Arabidopsis thaliana: one gene and its partners. The protein of the gene in region 2 interacts with the protein of the main gene of each other region in a biochemical or structural test. Each region holds a gene or a part of one and is shown on either strand. Other genes may lie near its edges.

Region 1 (3,891 bases), on a different chromosome or scaffold from region 2:
AGTGATATCACCTCTCCCAATATAGCATCACATGTGACACCATCCCAAGAACAACAGTCAACGTTCTTGTTCCATGTAGTTGTTGGTACATGTAACTCCTTTTGTACCTCTAAAAGAGCATCTCTTTGGTCGCTGCGGCACAGTAACCGTGTGGGACAAGCAATGGTGTTTGGTAATGGAAGAATGCTCAAGAAGAAATAGATGGTAAGAAAGCAATAAGATAGGCTTCGAATCATCGTCTCTCAATTTCGTTTTTTTTGGGAAAGGAAGATAATTTGTTTGTGGTAAGTGATGAGCATAAACTCACTTGTTTTTATAAAAGTGTGAGGAGCTTGACTTTTGACTTGGCAAGTCTTCCTATGAATAATTTGTTTTTGTTGGACCTTATCTTACGTCCCTTTTCTTTTACTGAAGAATTTTTTTTAGCACCCACCAATTCGACGAAATGTCTAAGATACATTATCCCCACCTATTCTTGAGGCTTTGAATTTTATATTGAGGATGTTGAAGATGCGTTGAGTTGAGCCCATGGGCTTAGCGACAAGGAGCGAATAAGAGAATCATTATTGAGTACCATGTAGTGATCAAAGCTTATGGAATCGGTAGCAGAGAGGGTAATGTATCTGCTGGTAAAAAGACAATGAAGCGGGAGATTTTGATTTCTTCATGGATTATACAAAACTGAACAGAAACAAAACAAAAAAGAGACTAAAATCCACAAAGTCACAATCTATTTACATGATGTCATTGTGCCATGAAAGAACTATATCTTCAAGCTCAGTAATCAAATCAGACCACCGTGAATCATCTTCTTCACCTTCAACAACTTTCACTTCAACCACCACAACATCCACCGTTAACTCCACTGCTTCCACCACAATCACAGTTCTTCCTCTCCCTAATCCAACAACCTTCACTTCTCCTTCCTTCTTCATCATCTTCTTCTTCACTACATAACCTAACTTCTCCCCAATCATCTTCGCCTTCTCCTCCACTTCAACACCCGAAACCTTCGCCGTGAATCTCCTCTCCTTCTTCTTCTTAGCCTCAAACAATCCAGAAAGATCTAATCCCGACGATAACGAGATCAAATCAAAAGCAGTAATCGAATTAACACTCGATTTCATCTCTACTTCCGAATCAAAGACGTTACGATGAAACTCAGAAGTCTCTAGAGACTTCTTGAACCAATTCGTTTTCATCACTGTTTCAATACTCATCCTCGTTACTGGATTCGGATCTAACATCTGATAGATTATCGATTTAGCTTGTTTCGAAATCCAGCTCGGAAACCGATAATCTCTCCGATGAATCTTCCGATACATCGCAGCGATATTCGAATCATCAAATGGAACATCGCCAACCAATAAAACAAACAAAATCACACCACAAGACCACGCATCAGCTTTTGCTCCGTCGTATCCCCTCCGTGAAATAACCTCCGGAGCTGTATAAGCCGGAGTACCACACGCCGTGTGAAGCAATCCGTTTTGTAGATGCTCCGGTAAAGCTGATAAACCAAAGTCAGAGACCTTGAGGTTACCTTGCTCATCTAAGAGTAGATTCTGAGGTTTCACATCACGGTGAGCGACACCGTCTTGGTGAGAGAAACGAAGAGCGGAGGCGAGTTGTTGAAAGTAACGACGCGCCGTTGATTCAGGAAGACGTCCACGACGGAGGACTTTTGAGAAAAGTTCACCACCGGAAGCGAGTTCCATTACGAGATAGATCTTAGATTTGGTTGCCATAACTTCATGGATCTTGAGTATGTTTGGATGATGACGAAGACGACGCATCGCATCGATCTCTCTGATTATTCTTGGTTCCATACCGGATTCGATTGTTTTCTTCTTCTCGATGATTTTAACGGCGACGAGCTCGTCGGATTCGATTGATCGAGCTAAATGGACTTTCGCGAAGCTTCCGCTACCGAGACGACGACCGAGTTCGTATTTCCCAAGGAGGATCTTCGCCGGAGTTGTTGCCGGAGATGATTGGTTTTGCGGCTGGGGAAGTGATTCCATGGCGGCGGCGGAAGGAGAAAATGGTGCCTGAGTTTTCTGAAGAGAGGTTTCAGGGACGAGTTGTTTGGTGAGTGTCTCTTTGCTTTTATAGGAAAAAGAGATTTATTGCTTTTTTATTATTCCGAAACTACCCTTGAATAAATTAGTTCTGCTGTCACTGAGAAGTAGAATCTTTTTACTTGGTATACACATTATTTTGTAATTAATTCGTTGAGAAAATTTAGGAGAAAATATTAAGTGTATTTTTTCTGTCAATTAGTAATAGTGTTTTTTTTCTCAATAATATCACATATCCATAAATAGTCAAAATAAATAAAATAAAATGGTCTTACAATGTAAAGTTTATGGGTTGACAGATAATTATCATTTATTTATTTAAATTGTTTGAAATTGGAGTGTTTATTCACCTAAAATAACTGTAGATGTTCTGTAAAAGCTTGTGTTTAAGAGTTATATATATGACTGTCAAAAAAACACAAAGAGTTATGTATATAAATTTAATAAAATCATTTCAGTTTCACTTTGAAATTTATTGTAAAATCTTCAAAAAATAATGTATATATTGTACATTTTAGAATATGACATTAATTTTAAAATCTCCTAATAAAATACATTTACTTTCAATAAATATTGTTGGAATCATTTTTTTTAATAGCTTGTAAAAATGTGTCTCAACAGACAAACATTACCCTCATATATATTTCTAGTCTCCGCTACAACACCTTCATACTTAAGAGACCATTATAAGAATGAAACTATGAATCAAAGGTTTTATGATTATGGGTCTATGTAACAAAATGTAGTTAAATCTTTAATGCTTTACAAAATTCTATAATATCTCTTTTGAAATCATTGGATTGGGTTATATGTAAATAACATTTTTCATGAATAATTCTATTGCGATTAATTTAAAGTTGTTAACTAAAAAAAGATTTGATTGAGAAAAATATATTTTATATAATCCAATGCTCCAAAAGTTCTGATATTTTGGATTTTAAGTTTTGGATCTCAATAACAACAATATCACAACCTTGATTTCATAAACTTATATGAATCTTATTGTGTATGTGTTGGTTATTAATTTATAACACATTACATTTCTTAAATAATTCTATTATCTTTTTTATATATGATGTAGGCTACATCATGTAGCTAAAAGGTGTTTTTTTTTTTTTTTTTCCATCCGCTAAAAGGTCTATAAAATAGCCTTTTGCTATGATTACAATCTCAACTCTTTTATTTTTCTTGTTTAAAGCATTACACTTAACTTTATACTTTATACACAACGATATATTCCTAAGAAAATATTTTATGGTCGATATCACAGTGTGTCTATTCCAATCTCAAGTGCTGAAAAACAAATCATGAAAAAGTTGGAGTAATCAATATTCAAAATAGAGAATATAAAATAAATCTTGGTGTTCATCATTATTATTGTTGTATCTATTCGACACTTGGTGTTGAAATTAAATATTGTATTCCTTAAATAATTTGTATTCCTACTTTCAACGGTCCATACGTGTCCATCTTTTTCTAGCTAGATTCTCTCATCAATTTTTTCCACCTGAAATGTAATTAAACCATCCTTAAATATGGTTTAACTTAACTAGCAAATTAAATCACACAAAACCGTATTATTGAACTAAGGGTAAATAAGTCATTTACTCAAGTCCCAAACTGATCAGTGATTACTGGTGGCTTTTGAGCCAAACTAACAAACCGTCAAGATTGTTTGGCAGTTGTCGACTGACATATGGACGGCTCTCATTTGGCCAAGTCAGCAAAGAATTGGGCCCATTGGTTTTGATTTTGGTGTTAAAAACAAAAGTTCAATTTCTAGAATTATTTTATTCTCCTCAGATTTAGA
Region 2 (5,452 bases):
CATAGAGGCGTTTGAAATCTTTAAACACGTCCCAAGCATCATCTACACGGTGATCTTTAAGAGCTGTTTCTAGCTTCTTCTTGAGAATTACTTGAGAAGAAACTTCCCAGTTTAATCTAGCAGGTTTAACACTAGTACAGAACAGAGACGGCTTTGAGGTGCGACTACACAAGACCCATGAAATTAGGGTTTCTACGTTACCGCTATCGAATCGACGAAATGATTCTAGAACTAAGTTCCGTTTCCTAAACATTAGTCTAGAATTTCGATTCCAAATCTAGAATTTAACAAAGAAAGCACAACAATGACGAGAACATGATAACAACATACGAATTCTCCAATCGAGAAAGAACCCTAAATTGCTGGAAACTTCGAAATCGAGAGAGAAGAGAGGAACACTGTAACAAGAGAAGAGTGGCAAGACTGTAAATTTCATCGGGTCGGGTCCTAGGACATTCGTACTTTCGCTTTTGCGGTTAAGGACCCAACAAAATCTCAAATTCACGTTTTTGCAGTATAAGATTCCATTGGAACAATTAGAACCCCGAGTAAACGTAACAAATCTTTACTTTTTTACTTGAAAAAAAACAATTACAACAAACGTATGATGTAATATGTACAAACTCATTAACATTTCCTAACTATATGAAGTGAAGGATTGGTGATTACGCGCTTCTTCTTTTTTTTTTTTTGTAAGCTAAAAACCCAAAATTTTAAACTGTTGTGAGAAGAAAAAAGTAACCCAAACAATTTCAAGAGAATATGCTCTACTACTGTTTACAAACAGATGTTGATTACACCGATTAGCTCAGACTTGTTCTTCCAACTCGTGGCAATCTACTCGGTCTTAAACCAGTTTGTTTCTTCATGTGGCAATCTCATCGACCTCCGAATGGAAGACAAAACTCGGAAACGTTGTCGTAATATCCCTGCATTGTTTATGTACAAGTTAATATGACATTTCATTTGGCATTTTTCAGTTTTCTTTGGTTTCCATAAAAGGCAATTTGTAATATACCTGAGATATGGAAGAGTCATGATCTTAAGCAATGATGGATTTTTGTTTACGAAATCACTCCACTCTAATTTATCAATTTTTCCATCTTGATTCACGTCTGCATCTTCAAATGTCTGTTCATATATGAGAAGGACGAAGGAAACCACATTAAGAACATCATCTCTAAATGTATACCATCTAGAAAAATAAAGCCTTAGACAACAACAAACCTTATCGAGTATTATCTCTATGGTTTCATCAGCCAGTTTCATTTCAGATTCGCAGAGAAGCGCGATCAACATTTGCTTGACCTGCAAATATATCACATTCATTAACGATTTCTTGCAAAGTTATTAAGTAAAAGATGAATACTCAAGAACATGGCAAAGATCTATCATGACTAGTATTCAAAGCTTGCAAGTTAGTATTACCTCTTGTCGTTCAATGTAACCCGTGCAGTCCATGTCGTAAAGCCTAAACGTAACTGAGAAAAAATGGCAGACCAGAATCAATAAATCTCTTCACAAAAGCTTCAATAAACACCTATATATGAAACTATCTTATGTCAACTTACAATCTATTTTGTCTTCTAGAGAAGCATTGGGGTGGAAAACATTGAGTGATCTTACAAAGTCCCCGAAATCGATGACTCCTTTTCGTTTAACATCAAACATATCAAATATCTGCGGAAAAGCAATATTGTTTAGGATAATGGACATATTATCTTGGTTTAGATCACTCTTCCAGAAGATGAATCTTGTAAAAGCCTGAAGAATTAAGATTTTACCCTATTAGCAAATATATTCTCCCTCTTCCGGCTTTTGAACAAAGCAAGTTGAAACTCCTCCTGCATACATGTGAAGCCAGGATTAAAAAACAACATAAACAAGGTGGGCCATGAAGGCTTCAAAATTCAAAATCAAAGCAATCAATAAAATAAGTTAAGTTCAAGTCAAACATTAAGGGCTACGATACATTGAATCGATGCAATATGGAACAGACATATCGTCATGGAAGAATAATTATTGCTCAAATAAAGTCAACTAAGTTGAAAAATACTGTAGATGAATAGCGTAAAGAACAAAAAGATACAACGATGGGGTCATGAAAAGATCCAAATTGGGTCAAAAGAAACAAACTTTGTACCTTGTTAATCAGACCATCATCAACAACCGAACTGCTTATGCTCTTGAATAGCTCAAATAATGCTTCAACCTCACTCACACTAACTGGAAAAGAGAAAAAAACAAGCAACACTACGAGATCAAAACAAAGAATTACCAGGAACAAACAAACAAACAAACAAAGAGACTAATAATTCACATTTAGAATTTGCATGGAGAGAGAACTCGTCTTGACAAGTTAAGGAACAAGATTAAGGTGATGGTATTGGTAACAAGAAACATGAGATAGAGTGTTAACCAACTTTGAAGGATCATTACTAGAAATTGTTAGGCAGACAAAGACTCCAAAACACAAAACTAAAAAAATCCAAACCGGAGATAAACTAAATCAGTGAACAGAGAAAGAATGATTTGAATCTAACTGATGATTCTCATCTCATATCAGAAAACAAATGAACATGCAGCTTTGAGAGAAATGAATCTAGAGGAGGTTTAAACTTATAGCGCGAGTAAACTTACAAGCTGTCTCAGAGGCAAGCTTAACAGGGTCTTCGTGTCCTCGAAATTCTTTTGCTGCCTTTGAGTGGAAGCAGCCCATTTACAGATGAAATAAGACGATGAAACCTTATACCCGAGCCCCGGATAACGAAGAAAAGGCGGATAAAATCCAACAGCTAATTCAGCGATATCTGAGATTCTATAGCTTGATTGCTACTGTTTACTGCACAATCATCACAAACATATTTTCAAAATCTACACATATGGAAACAGAACACAAACAATGCCATTTCATTAGAAACAAATCATCTAAAAAAATCTTTGTGAAACGTAAAATTGAAAACAGTCTAGAAGAATCTCAACAACTTTGCTCAAATTTTTTTACCATGGAAGAAAAAAGTGTAAACCCTAGCAAAGTAGCATCAATGAAGAAAGAAAAAAAAAACACAAAGTTCTTCGAATCCATAAGATACGGAGATGGAATCAAAATTGTACCAGTAAAACACGATTCGAAACCAGACGATCAATGTAGAAACATCGAGAATTCCACAGGCCAAAAATCAAACTCAAAAAAACGAAATTCGATGGAAATAAAAGAAAAAGATTCTTAAAAATAAGAAGCAACACTCACCACCCAAGAGAAACGGTTCGCCGGCGAGATCCAGAGAGAGAGGAGCTAGAAACAGCAAAAAGAGAGAAAGAGAGAGGAGACGAAGAAGATTGGTGAACGGTGATGGCAAGATGGATGATCGGACGGTTGAGATCGATTATTTATTTTTCTTTTTCCTTTGGAATGAATTTTAGTAGCGCTTATATGATGGCATATTCGCACGTGTGAATCATAGTAAGCGCGTGTGAGACGAGTCAGTTTTGGAAGTTAATAGAATCGGCGTTTAGTTCAGTTTTTTCTGTCGTCATGTAATTTCAGTTAGACCGAACCTAATTGTACCTAATTCCATAGATTGATTTCTGTTATGTTCATTCTGTACTATTTATCTTCTGTCTTTTTTTCTTTTTACAACTTGATTGTTACGTAAGCATACACGATATTTTCTATGTTTCTGTATACTAAGAATGGGAAAAATATTTTTTGGACAAGAAATTCAAAATTTCTTTTGTTTCTTCTAATATCCATTCACTTCCGGAATAAATCAAAGATCCGTCCATTTTATTAGTCAAAATGGCACCTCTTAGGAATATTCTGAATATACGGAATTGGTAACCCTGTATTATAATAACTTTTTATATAGTTAGTTTATTAGATATTTGCGATGCTCCATAATTTGACTAATATGCAAAATGGAAACGCCAATAATAAAGTCTGGGAAACATTTGTCTTCGACTGATCGTGTTAGTGGTCACCATATCTTCTTTTGGTTTTGCTATCTAAAAAAACACAAGTTTTTTAATCCATTAACATTTTTTGTTTCTTTGGTAAAATAAATCCACTAACATATGTGATATTTACAGGGTGCCATTTTAAAACCATAACACTCTTGACAACTGGAAAAAGGCTCTAAACTGTAATTATCTGTTGAAATGGTTATTAACTAAATAAATCAGATCATGAAGCCAAATCTCTACAAGAATCAATTTAATTATAAAGTATTGTGTTTATGAATTAAATATGTCGTAGACCAGTCGGTGTGGAATTAGTACTTCGGTCTGCAATGTGGCAGGCAAACGTTGACATAATTAGGACCTTAATCACGACCAGACCACGTGTTTATCGTTCAAAACAATAATAATAGCGTATATATATTAAATTTCTTGATTATGATTAGTAGCTTTGATTCTCCTGCCGTTAACTCGATCAATTAGAGTTTTATATCATTTTGATATCTTTAAAGCGGGCTTAAATTGACTCTTTGGTCACCGGCCGTGTTGGGAACGCGTCCTCAAAATGTTTTGTTTAATTTGCGTATACTACGGTATTATAATTTTATAAATGCAACATAATAACATCCGGATCCGTGGCGCAATGGTAGCGCGTCTGACTCCAGATCAGAAGGTTGCGTGTTCGATTCACGTCGGGTTCAATCCCCCGAACAATTTCCGGTTTTTTTTTTTTTTTCTTCTCCTGAAGTCTATCCCATACGGCCCAATCATACTAAGTTAAGCCCAAGAAAGCCCTTATCAATAATTCTAATTTCCCCCCTAATTATACGACTAGGGTTTATCTGTCCTAAGCCATGAAAATTATTTGAAAGGGTTTAACAGAGAGATTCCTCGTAACACTTCCCTCTGTACTAATTTCAAATTCGTTTACGTTTCTTCATCTATTCTGGCTGCTTGCAGCCAATTTTTTTGAAGTTCGAAGCTTCAATTGAAATGGGTTCGTCAGTGATTACTTCATTGTCACTGAGCTTCAAGCAAGTTCCACCAGCAGCTATTCCTGCTTTCCTTGACTGTGTTTTAAGCTCCACAGGCGTATCTCCTTCAACTCTTTTCGAATCTCTCATTGAGCAATTCCCTTTTCGTTTAGAGGTATTGATTGATTGGTTTATTGTTTCACACTTCGGCAATTTGCTTCGGATTGTTCAATTTAAGATTTGAACATGTTTTTGAATAGGATACGGTAAATGGGGACAAGAGATTTGATTCTGATGATTGCAACCACATAGCTTCATTGGTGGCTGGGCTTTGTCATCTACTAAAGAATTTTGGTGAGTTACCAATTTTGAATTTTTAGATATGTATGATGTGTTAGTGATTACAGAATTGTTTAATTGATGGTTATGAGGTTGAAGCAGGCTTTGTTGCTGCGGATAATCATAATGCGTTGCAGCTATTTGTGTGGAGAGTGTTTATTCCATTGATGAAGATGGTTCGT
Region 3 (6,198 bases), on a different chromosome or scaffold from region 2:
GTGGAGCAAATTCTTTACGGTAGATGTAGACATTGGTGGTCGTGCTATGTTATCGTATGACAGTTTCTTCATCGACAAGGAGAAAGGAATGGCCTTGCTATGTGGGTTGTGAGACAAGTAACAGACTTGCGAGCAAGAACCTTGTATACATTGTTGGGGAGGACCGTGAATACACAGAAATCCATTTTGGCGAATGGCCTAAGTTCATTCCTTTTATGAACTCATGTGAGCCGTTTTATTTTCAATTATGTTCCAAGTTTGGTTCAGTATTAGTCGATACAGGTAAGGACGTAATTTCTTCAATCTCCTTTTTTTGTTTATTCGTTTTTGCGTTTTTGTAGTAAAATCGTTTGATTAATCTATGACTAGATATATTATTTTGATTCCTGGCTTATTTGCACTACATTCAAGTTCCAACTAAAACAAGAACAAGTTGTGAATTTGACTAACTTTAAAACTACAATTGTTACATTCCAGGACGCTAAATGTTGATAGGTCACATGACTCATGACTCTTGAGAGTATTTTATGAGACGAAAGCAACATAGCATAATACTAAAAATTTATATACGTAGATCGGTTGGTGCGGAATTGAATGATGTACAGATACAAACTAAACACATGTATATTATTTACAAAAATAATGAAGAGATTTTTTATGGGATCTTTTTTGCTAGTAGGCAGATTTGCCACACCAAATAATAATAAAAACAAATACAAAGGTAGTGAATAAAATCTCTAATTCTTGAGGAAAGATCTACGCCACGGTTTATACTTAAATGCAATTACTATTTGCACTAATCATATAAATCGAGCTCCTTTTATATATACTTAAGATAATAAATTATATGAACATGGATGGTGTGTTCCATATGATAAATTATTAGAGCTATGTATATCTCTTCAGCCGAAAACACCAACACCTAAGTTACTATCTCTTGCTCCGGCGAGGATGTGCCCACGTCTTTTAATAGTCTCTCGTACAACTGCACCAACCCCAATATCAAACATAAACATTTTTATCTTTGATATGTGTTTCTTCAGTCTAATTAAGAAATGACAATAGTGGCATACCTGTCTATATAAACATGAATCGCCATAAGATTTTCTTAGCTCAACCACGTTCAGTGACGGCTTTATCTCGAAAACCTGATATCATAAGAATTTCTTCTATTAGTCAAATAATCTCACTAAATAGTCTATTGAACAGTGAAATAATGTTTACGTAATAGTTAATATACCTCAGCTGTTACTGATAAACCAACTTGACCTTTCTGGTTTCTTTCTTCTTGTTTTACTCTTAACTGAAACAAAATACAGTTTAAAGTTTATAAACCTACAGATTTGAAATTCCAAGTTGCTAAGGAAGAGGAAGACCATGTTGTGAAGACCCACCTTGGCATGTTTCTTTTGTACACTGAATCCCATTTCTGTAACGGCTGTTTCGATTTTCTCCAGTAAATCTTTTGCTGAGCTATTTGAAGTGAATCTTATTCTCCTCTCTGATACATTCTGAGAAAGTAAAAGTATAACTCCTTTTTATTATACATTGGCTCAAGCAGAGAGCAGATCTTTGAAACAGAGTATTAGAAGATTAGTTACCTCTTGTTCAAAGAAACCGGACAGGTCAAGAAAGGAAGACATTCCGATTAACTGAAACGCATTGATGATGGTCGGTGAATCACTGCCCTTCCCTTCTTCTGATCCCTAGACCATTCAAAAGAGAGACAGAGAAATGAGGACATTGTACTTGACTCAAATGCAGTTGCGATAGAGAGTAAGGGTGGCAGATTCTTACGAGTTCTTGGATTGAGAAAGCATCATCGTCTGTGTCAACTTCTTCTTCGTCATCATCATCGGGAATTGAAGGAATGTACTCAAGTTTGAACCACTCGCTGGCTTTAATACCCACAACTGTGATCCTCGTGACTGGATTTGGATCAAGCATTCTCTTAATCATGGTTCTTGCACCCGGGGATAACCATCTTGGTATTGGTGGGTCTCCTTTACATATCTAGAAATCAAATCAATTATCAAGCTTATTTCTTCAAAATGTGTATTGAATTGGCATATATATAAGAAAAAATGAGGTTTACCTTCTGGTAAAGAACTGCAAGGTTTCTGTCGTCGAAAGGAAGACATCCGGTTAGAATCACATACAAGATTACACCACAGGACCATATGTCTGATGCTGCACCATCGTAGCCTCTGTTAGCTAAAACCTCAGGCGCAACGTAATTAGGACTTCCACAGGTTGTATGCAACAATCCGTCATCCTAAAATGCCAAAGAGAAAATTAGTTGTAACTCGAACGGATTCAACAATTATAATTCTGCTGTGATATGCTATGGTTTTAAGATGATATTTTCAAGTACCCTAAAATGCTGAGGCAGAGCACTGAGGCCAAAATCAGTGATCTTTATATGTCCCTTTGCATCAAGAAGAACATTCTCTAGCTGCAATATAGAAAAACATCAGTACACTATTCCATAAGGTTTCCATGGTTTGAAACACAGTGAGAGAATCACAGACCTTGAGATCCCTGTGGAAAACACCTTTGCTATGACAGTAGCTGATTCCATCGATAAGCTGCTGAAACATTTTTCTTCCATCAGTTTCTGTTAATTTTCCGTTGGAAACCTGAGAGTTATCATCAAAGTGTGAGTTTAGCAAAAATGACACTCGTCAAAAAAAGAAAAAAAATCTTTTTTGCTTTGAGCATAGAGGCTAGTAAGAGTCTTACAATTCTGTCGAACAATTCTCCTCCGGTAACAAGTTCCATTACCATATTAATTTTCGTTTTGCTAGCCAAGACCTGCATGATTACCATAAGGAAGAGGCCATTAGTTTCAAGGTAAAGGAACAGTGAGTTCTGAGGTAAGATGTTTCATGTTTGAGAATCCAAAAGATTAGTCACAAGAAAGAAAAAGAAACATTTAGAATTCGAATTGCATTCATATCCACAGATTACATAAAAAACACTTAGTTGTCCAAGACACGACAAAGTTAGTCACGAGCTTAAAAAGTGGACCACGTGTATCAAATAAGTGAAGATCCACAATGGTTGCTTAACCAAAAGTCACGATTAATCTCGTGTTAAATGGCAAAGAGGAAGAAGCAATCGAAATAATTAGAAGTCAACAATAAAACGCAAAGATACAGCAAGCAATGACCCATACAATAATCATCTGAAATAATACTATATGAATAAAATAAAATAAAAAGTAAAACTAAGCATAAGATCAAAGAGGGTCCACATGATAAAAAGCTTAAAAGGGTACTAAGATTAAGCAATTATATGATGATCAAGCGACATATCCTGCATTTTTCACGATAATTTTTTTTAGGACCCCACCTTTGAATTGAACAGGTCAGATTTGTGTTACCGGCCAAGCCACCATATCAAATAATGGAATAATTAACTTAATAATTATGTAAAATGATGCGGCTAATTGGCAACGTGAAAAACAAGCTAAATGAAACATGTTTGGGTACGAAACCAAATGACTTGTAAGAATATTCCTAAACAGTAAAAAAAAAGATCCAAAAAGCAAACAACAATTATCCAAGATTTGAGGTGTTTTTAATCCTCGTCAGCTCCATTTTGATAGATAAAGAAACAACAATGAAGAAATTAACTAAAAATAGTTTACTAAACCTAATCTAACAATCTAAAATGACGAATCAAAATTTGAATAACCATCCATAAGCAGGCAATAATTCGATCACTTTCTGTCATACTCAGGTATATACTAAATAAACAGAAACAAGCAAACAGAAGAATAATCAAAAATTGTTATACTAATTAAGCAATAAACCTTTTTACTTCCTAATCACAGAATCATTTCGATAATCCAAAGATGATTATACACAAAAATTTAAGATACGGACCTCATGTAATCTAACAATGTGGGGATGTTTCAACATTTTCAGAGTCCGGATCTCTCTTTTTATCTGCACAGATTCATAAGAATTGGATCTGTCAAATTACAAATTTAGTAAAAGAAGAGAAAAGAAAAAAATTAGAAATGATGATAGAGAGATGGGAACCTGTAAGGAGAAGTTGAGATCGGCGATACGAGACTTGTCGATGATTTTAACGGCGAAGGAATGACCGGAGACGGTATCTTTAGCGAATTTAACTTTACCGAAATTACCCTCGCCGAGCGTCCTCCCTAGCTCGTATTTCCCCAGACGCATTCCCTTCTCCGCCTTCTTCTCCTCCTCTTGCCTTCTCACCATCCAATCAATCTCCTATTTCAATTTATTTCCCAACAAATTAACAGACAACCAAATCGATTTCTCGCTTGAATCTTCCGATTAGATTACTATTAATTCCGTTATTGAAAGAGGGGAAGTAGATTATTGTAGCTGTGCAGGTATGTGTGTGAGGGAAGGAGATATATATATATATATATATATAGGTGTAGGTAAAGAGACGAGGAAGATTGGGAAGAAGAAGAAGAAGAGAAGAAAGTGCCGGTTGAAATTGAAGAGAGGACGCTACTTCTCTTTGTTTCCTCTTCTCTTCTTATTATATTCACTTCTTTTTATATATATATTCCTCGTTAACTATTTTTTTTTGGTTTTTGTTAGCCAGATTTTTATTGGATAACTAGAAACATATTAATCTTCACAAAAGAAAAAGATTAATCTAACAAACCATATAAGATTTGATATTATCGAAATAAGATTTTTTTAGTAGGGTACTTATCGAGATTTATTATTATTGGTCAAATAAAACTCCTATCAAATGAAATTATGTCTATGTTCATTATAAGGAGAAATTTAAAAAGGATCTTATTTCTGTCAACAATCAAAATATGGAAAATATACGCAAAGAGTATATTGATTTATCAGAATAATTCTATATATGATGTATATTGCGAATATGTGTGTATTTTATGTGTGTACTTGTATGCATCAATAGGCCCACGTCATTTGTTGCATTAGTTTTATGTTGAAATTAAATAATAATAGATGAAAAAATATATTCATAAGAACTTTTGGTTTAAAGTCAGAAAGAAACGCTACAAAAAGATTGGTGCTTGCAGTTTTATAGTTCTTGTTACTGGAGCAGTTTTGATTTGGCTTTCGGATTTTAGTTCTTAAATGTAGAAACAAACTTGTATACACATAAAAGTTCACAAGGAATCACATACTTTCCAAGTTTTCATGTTGGAGTTACTTAAAAGTTGAAGTCCAACTATGATTTCTTAAAGTTACAGTTTAGTTTTGTACCTTTGTTATAAAAGAGGAGATCAAAAGAGACCTAAACTTAAGATCAAGTTATATATACACACTACAACAAATTAAACAACGCGTTCATAACCCATTCGTTTCTATGGAAATTTTGAACTTATGACTTGGTTTCATAGACAGTAGGTCTTCATTGTCGTGGCATTTTCAGTTTAAGAGATAATTTGGTAATAAACCATTTATATACGTCGATATCGTGCATGAATTGATAATTAGATTTAAAACACTTTTTTACGATAGTGCTTTCGGTTTGGGGGGAAATAAACATGGTGCTTTCAGTTTTATATTGTTTCTGTCTTTGTAGACTAATAATATTAGTTGTAGACTTTTACAAATTTTTAATTCGCAATATAGGCAAGCGTTTAGAAACACAATCGTTAATGATACACTTAAAGTTAATATTTTTTAAAAAAAACTATGGTAATTTATACTATATTTCATGTCTCGTCCTTTGTCGGCTCACAATTAATTAAATCACATGGAACCATTCAATTTATATTTGTTTTTCTTATGCGGTTTGTGTATTTAATTAAAATAAATAAATTGTTTTTGAGAATCCAAAAGTTTCAATAAACCAGGGCCTGGGCACCAGGCTAATCTCTTGAATTTGGAAAACTCCATATTATATCTTTTTATTGGATACATAGATTATTGAAGAATGTAGTGGTTCTTAGCTCTCGTCAGTCGTCCCAACATATTTTTGGTAATGAAAAGGTCATATGTCACATGTTTCTCTACACATCTTTTTCCCAAGGTTTTTATTAAAATTTGTAGTTAGTAAATGATGTGGCTGAAATGAATAGATACTATATAGAAAAGGAGAAAAAACCAATAATTAAAATTATTCGAGTCTCTCAAACGTGTCAAAATGGCCGGTGATAGTATTGCTGCCGGCAGTGAGTAACATATTGATTGATCTATGTTATCAGAACCTCTCTCT
Region 4 (5,035 bases), on a different chromosome or scaffold from region 2:
GAACAAGTGACCAAATTATCCAATTTACCGAATGATTGATTCTTCGTTCGAAGTGAAACATGGAATAGTAGTATAGTACAACGGAGCTTCAGGAATACACACCTGCGAATTGTCCCGGGAAAAGGGAGTTGAAATCGCATGCAGCCTTTCCGGCAGTAGATTTCAAAAATCTATGGCGCAGAATTGGCTTATCGAAGGAGAAGAAGTAGTTTGTCGGACAAGAAAGGAACTCTCGGCGACAATGCAGAGCGGAGGAGCTCGAGAGAGTAGTAATTGGAAACAGAGCGTCTCAATTACTCGGTCGATGCTTCTTCCGCCATACTCCATCGTGTGGCTCACTTTTTCTCACCTTATTTCTCTTTTATCTTTTTCTTATCCAAATTAAAATTTTCAATCAAATAGACGACGTGGATTTATTATGAGTACACTTTCAAACTGGTTAGCCTTTTCCAATACCAAAAAGAAAGATTATTTTCAAAAATTTGTCACTTTCGCAAACGTTTTGTCAGAAGAAGAAAAAAAACAGGATTTATGTGTTTGGTTGCTAGCAGATAAGCTTGTTATAGCCATTATTAGCGAATGTATTTTACAGTTTTTGCAGAAAATAAAACAACAATCGTTACAATGAGAGAAGCTTTGTACACAAGCACCACAAACCAGGTAAGAAAGAGGTTAATAAACTCAAATGTTGGGCACTCACTAGTCACTATGAACAAAGAACATGTTTTCACATAATTGAGAGATGAAAAAGAAAGAAAGAGAGAGAACAATGTGGCACTGAATTTTTAGGGTTACCGTGTGAGCGGTTTGTAGAGGACAACAGTTATGTACTTAGACTCGAACCTGTGGGTTAAACCCAAAGCTACTATGGATTGAGGAGTCCATCCTTGCTCTATGAACACATGGTTAAGCACCACATGTTGAGGCTTTGTGGCTATGGCTGTCTCTTCAGTAGTGCCAAGAAGTGTTAGATGAAGCTGAGGTGGCACCGCCAGTGGCTCTTTCGCGTAATCTTCTGCGGCTGGTAGGGTTTGACCGTAGCTATGATCAGGTGATGGTGGCGCCTCAAACTCCACTATGCTTTCTGGGTTTTCTGGCACAAAGTTCTGCATGCATAATGATTGCAGATACTGTTAAGCTGATTGATAGATTTAACATGAGAAAAAAAGAGGTGGGAAAGTAACTTACATGAACATCGAGAATGTTACAGACATTGCCAACTTCGTCTGCTACAAAGGGTAAATCTGGGATGTATTTGGATTCACCGTCCACAATCACCTTGTAGTGGTATATGCCAGATGGAAGGACAAAGAGAATCGAGTGGTCTTTCCCTGATTTCTGCAGCTTCTTCCTGGTGAATGTAAACATATTGTTTTTAACATATATCACGAAATCTCGAGAGAGGGTCCACGAGAAACAAAGTCAATTATACCTTGATCTCCAATTGTCCCATGATCCTTCCACCGCCACATCATTACCTCCTTGGTTCCATGTAATGATGGTAGGGATTCCTTGCTCTGGGGGATTATCAAAAACTCTCTGTGATTGGTTCCATTGGATGTTATTAGGAGGAGGGGCGTTTGCTCTCTGCAATGGAGCCACGGGAACCTGAGAATATCCACATAAACACTGAGCCGTGAGATCTTACAAACCAATGTGCAAGAAGAATTTGCGAATGTCAAAACATTATATCTACCATCCGACACGAAATGCAGCCATTAGGTACACATGTTAAGCCTAAACAATGGAAGAGGTGACGCATAGGTGAGCAAATGTTGTAAGATGTAACGTGGAATAACAATGTGGGCTGAAAAGAAAAGGAGTCGAAAATGAATATAGCAACAGTAGACTCAGAAATTTACTCGCATACAGAGTACAGACAAGACCTTATTAGCAAAAGATATTTCACTATTCCCACAAAAACCTGATAACAAGGTCAATTTTAGAAGGTTGTCCTTCACTTATCTTATGAATTATTCACATATTAAGAACAATGAGAAGAATGACGAAACATCCAAAATCTGTAATTCGTTCAAGTAAAAGCTCTGCGTGTTTAAATTCAAAAAGGGCGAAGAAAAGAACAAGCTTGCCCTCCCTCCTCTTAAAAATGAAAGCAAAAGACATTACACAAAAGACTCACAATGCGACATGCAAATCAACAGAACAGTATCAGTAACTGGTAAATGACCAGAGAGCAGCAGGAAAGTCAAAATCAGCATAAAAACCTAGAGAGACAATAATCATCCTATTTGACTGCCATACGCTTTTCCACACCAGGCATGGAGGCATAATCAGAAGACAAATAAGACCTTCTCTAAAGCAGATTCTCTAGTATGATTAACAAGATTTTAACTCACCAAAAGGAAAAGACATAGCAATAAGGTGATCTAAGCCTCTCTCTCTCTCTCCACCAAAACTAAGGAAGAGTAACTAGCTACCTTGTCATTTACCAGAGTTTTTGACTTCTCAAGAACCAAACAAAACCAAGTCAAGTCTAATTCCTTTATACAAAAGATTTCATTCACAAACGTACTTAGTCTGCAAAGTTGCCCTCTTCACAATGAAACAAAGATAAATTACACAAAGACTCACTAAGGGACATCAAGAATCATGAGCGACCAGTAAATGACTAGAGACCGGCTGGAAAATAAAGAAAAAATAGCTAGGAAACCAAAACAACATCTTAAAGAAAGGTAGAAACTTTTCCACATTATGCATTATTTCAAGATACCTGAACCAAGATAACACAAAAATAAAAGAGATTCTCTAGTACAGAATCTCTAAACCCAACTCAGAAAAAAGCTTTAAGAACAAGAATCTACATTACAAATTCTCAAGAACCAACAGGATAACACAAATCAAGTGAACAAGTAGAGTTCACTCATAAAAAAAAGGCTGGAGATTTTGTACTTGGATCCTATCTAAATGAAGAAAGTGTCTCACAATTAGTGAAACAAATGAAAAGTCAAGTGAACGAACATTCTCTTACTCAACGAAACAAATCAAAAAGATTCTCTTACTATTATCTCTTTGGGCGAATGTTTCAATCGATTCAATTCAAAACCAGAAATCAAATTCAACGATTAAACAGAGAGAGATATTCGAGAGAGGGAACCTGAGGAGCGAATAAGAAAGGAGATGGAGATCGAGCAGGACTTCCGGGAGGAGAACTGCTCATAGAGTCTGAAGAAGGACGACGGTGACGACTGCGTGCAGAAGGATCGCCGCCATTAGATCTCGCCGAGGACGAGGTAACATCTGCACCACCGCTACCGGCGGCGGCGTCTTCGTCTTTGCCGTTCGCATTTCCCATCTGAAAAAGCCCAAATCACAGAAGCGAGAGAGACAAAGAGAGGAGAGAGATAGAGGAAAAGAGAGAGAAAACCAGACGTGAAGAAAAATGGAGGGAGGACGACGAGGAGGAGATAATGAAACGCCCCTCAAGTTAGAAGTTAATTACGAATAATGCCATTGGTAGCGAAAAAGAGATTTTGCATAAAAGGGGCTCTTGAGAGAGAGATATCATTAAAATCCGTACCAAATGGATAAACGAGTGACTTGGCGTCCAAAAGTTTATAATTATCCACTTTTTTTTTGTTTATTTCTTTTAGTATATAATAAACAAATGTGAATAAAAAGTTGGTTCAATGCCTTTGAGAAGGATAATGACACAAGGGCCAGTCACCTCCTTGCCACCGATTTGTGTGCCTTAACATCTTGCTAGAGCCAGTGATCATAGTATGCGTATCGTGACGATGAAAAGGCCTTAAACTCCAATAGGTGGGGTTAGAATAGAGATGGTCAAAGAATCATCATTTTCCAAGATTTGTATTGGTTAGTCCCGTAAACTAGTTATTGGTCGAAAGATTGTTTCGAAAAGTTTGGAGGGTTTCAAAGCCAATGTAAACTTGTAAAAGGCGATGGTCACTATTCACTAAGCCATGAGTGATTGTCATGCACTTTCCTTATAGGTTGAGTCATTGTTTTTTCTTTTGCTTTCTCGCATTGTATATTGGTCACTTTCAAATTGTAAGATTTCAGCTTTTGCTTTATCATTTACTTTGAACTAAGGTTTTGATTCAACCTCATATTTTCTTCAAACGAGTGTACTATCATTGGAAAAACTTGATTTCAATCACTTCAATTTTCATCAATATATTGACCTTTTGTTTAGAAATCTTATCTAGTGGACACTAAATCTTCCACAGACACCTTCAAATGTCATTTTCAGAGACAAAAATTCATTCAAATCTTCATCAATTACTTTATTCTTCGTAGGTTCACATATTGAAGAATTAAGATAATAGCCTCACCCAAAAAAAAAATTAAGATAATAGTTTTCACCTCAGAAATCATCGTTAATATCCATCATATATATAAAAATTATTATATGTATATTAACAATTCAGATAATTTTTCACGTATTTTTAAAAGACTAAATATTATAATTAAATAACTTAAACGAATTAAACAATAAAACAATAAAGAGATTATAAGAGCGATAACTAGTTATCTTCGTTCTCTTTTACCAACTACTAATCCTTAGTTGTAACAAAAGTTTGTTAGATCACATTAAAAGTACAAAATAACTTAGAATTGCTACACAAATTCTAACACATCTATTTAAGGACATAAACTAAGGTTAATAAATAAACGCGTTATAAATAGGTCTAACGAAAATAAGTTTATAAAGTTAATTTAAATTTTTTTAAAACCCTACATAAATGATGTTTTCTCAAAACAAAAATTAAAAAGAAATAAATTGAATGTTTTTAATTACGAAGGATAAAGACCAGATTAGAGGATATTTGTAATACTAGTAATTAAACAAATCATGAATATTATTCTTATTTTTTGTCAAATTTCAAATAGGAAAAATAGGAAATTGCTATATAAAATAAACATATACATATAAAAAAAGAGGAAAGTAACTAGGGTTTTTGGGGTTATACGTTTCACTGTTTGTTTCATCCTCGCTTATTCCTCCCTTAAAGAGTGTCGCCACCAAAACACACACACACACTTGCCTCCTTCT

The links.
Region 1: the proteins of CBL1 (region 2) and CIPK7 form a complex in vitro, tested with the Arabidopsis thaliana proteins (one study listed by BioGRID).
Region 3: of the proteins of CBL1 (region 2) and CIPK1, one has a biochemical effect on the other in vitro, tested with the Arabidopsis thaliana proteins (one study listed by BioGRID).
Region 4: the proteins of CBL1 (region 2) and AKINBETA1 form a complex in vitro, tested with the Arabidopsis thaliana proteins (one study listed by BioGRID).

What each region holds. Positions count from the first base shown.
Region 1 is NC_003074.8:8,170,787-8,174,677, reverse strand, and holds CIPK7 (CBL-interacting protein kinase 7), read right to left. Parts: upstream 2,200-3,891; 5' UTR 2,025-2,199; coding exon 735-2,024; 3' UTR 536-734; downstream 1-535. UniProt on the Arabidopsis thaliana protein: CIPK serine-threonine protein kinases interact with CBL proteins. Binding of a CBL protein to the regulatory NAF domain of CIPK protein lead to the activation of the kinase in a calcium-dependent manner.
Region 2 is NC_003075.7:9,814,409-9,819,860, reverse strand, and holds CBL1 (calcineurin B-like protein 1), read right to left. Parts: upstream 3,508-5,452; 5' UTR 3,251-3,507; exon of another isoform or gene 3,115-3,250; intron 2,875-3,114; exon of another isoform or gene 2,843-2,874; 5' UTR 2,720-2,842; coding exon 2,641-2,719; intron 2,227-2,640; coding exon 2,144-2,226; exon of another isoform or gene 1,881-2,143; coding exon of another isoform or gene 1,845-1,880; coding exon 1,785-1,844; intron 1,681-1,784; coding exon 1,572-1,680; intron 1,482-1,571; coding exon 1,429-1,481; intron 1,309-1,428; coding exon 1,228-1,308; intron 1,132-1,227; coding exon 838-1,131; 3' UTR 508-837; downstream 1-507. Other genes in the region: AT4G17616 (Pentatricopeptide repeat (PPR) superfamily protein), read right to left, coding at 1-253; AT4G17610 (tRNA/rRNA methyltransferase (SpoU) family protein), read left to right, coding at 4,951-5,106, 5,192-5,285, 5,373-5,452. UniProt on the Arabidopsis thaliana protein: Acts as a calcium sensor involved in the signaling pathway during growth and development and in response to abiotic stresses. May function as a positive regulator of salt and drought responses and as a negative regulator of cold response.
Region 3 is NC_003074.8:5,988,387-5,994,584, forward strand, and holds CIPK1 (CBL-interacting protein kinase 1), read right to left. Parts: upstream 4,616-6,198; 5' UTR 4,242-4,615; coding exon 4,050-4,241; intron 3,954-4,049; coding exon 3,891-3,953; intron 3,693-3,890; exon of another isoform or gene 2,830-3,692; coding exon of another isoform or gene 2,815-2,829; coding exon 2,743-2,814; intron 2,640-2,742; coding exon 2,532-2,639; intron 2,456-2,531; coding exon 2,375-2,455; intron 2,276-2,374; coding exon 2,096-2,275; intron 2,014-2,095; coding exon 1,798-2,013; intron 1,707-1,797; coding exon 1,602-1,706; intron 1,512-1,601; coding exon 1,395-1,511; intron 1,304-1,394; coding exon 1,241-1,303; intron 1,149-1,240; coding exon 1,074-1,148; intron 986-1,073; coding exon 923-985; 3' UTR 538-922; downstream 1-537. Other genes in the region: AT3G17500 (F-box family protein), read left to right, coding at 1-112. UniProt on the Arabidopsis thaliana protein: CIPK serine-threonine protein kinases interact with CBL proteins. Binding of a CBL protein to the regulatory NAF domain of CIPK protein lead to the activation of the kinase in a calcium-dependent manner.
Region 4 is NC_003076.8:7,203,996-7,209,030, reverse strand, and holds AKINBETA1 (5'-AMP-activated protein kinase beta-2 subunit protein), read right to left. Parts: upstream 3,365-5,035; 5' UTR 3,314-3,364; coding exon 3,116-3,313; intron 1,866-3,115; exon of another isoform or gene 1,808-1,865; coding exon 1,697-1,807; intron 1,609-1,696; coding exon 1,433-1,608; intron 1,352-1,432; coding exon 1,189-1,351; intron 1,107-1,188; coding exon 792-1,106; 3' UTR 535-791; downstream 1-534. UniProt on the Arabidopsis thaliana protein: Regulatory subunit of the probable trimeric SNF1-related protein kinase (SnRK) complex, which may play a role in a signal transduction cascade regulating gene expression and carbohydrate metabolism in higher plants.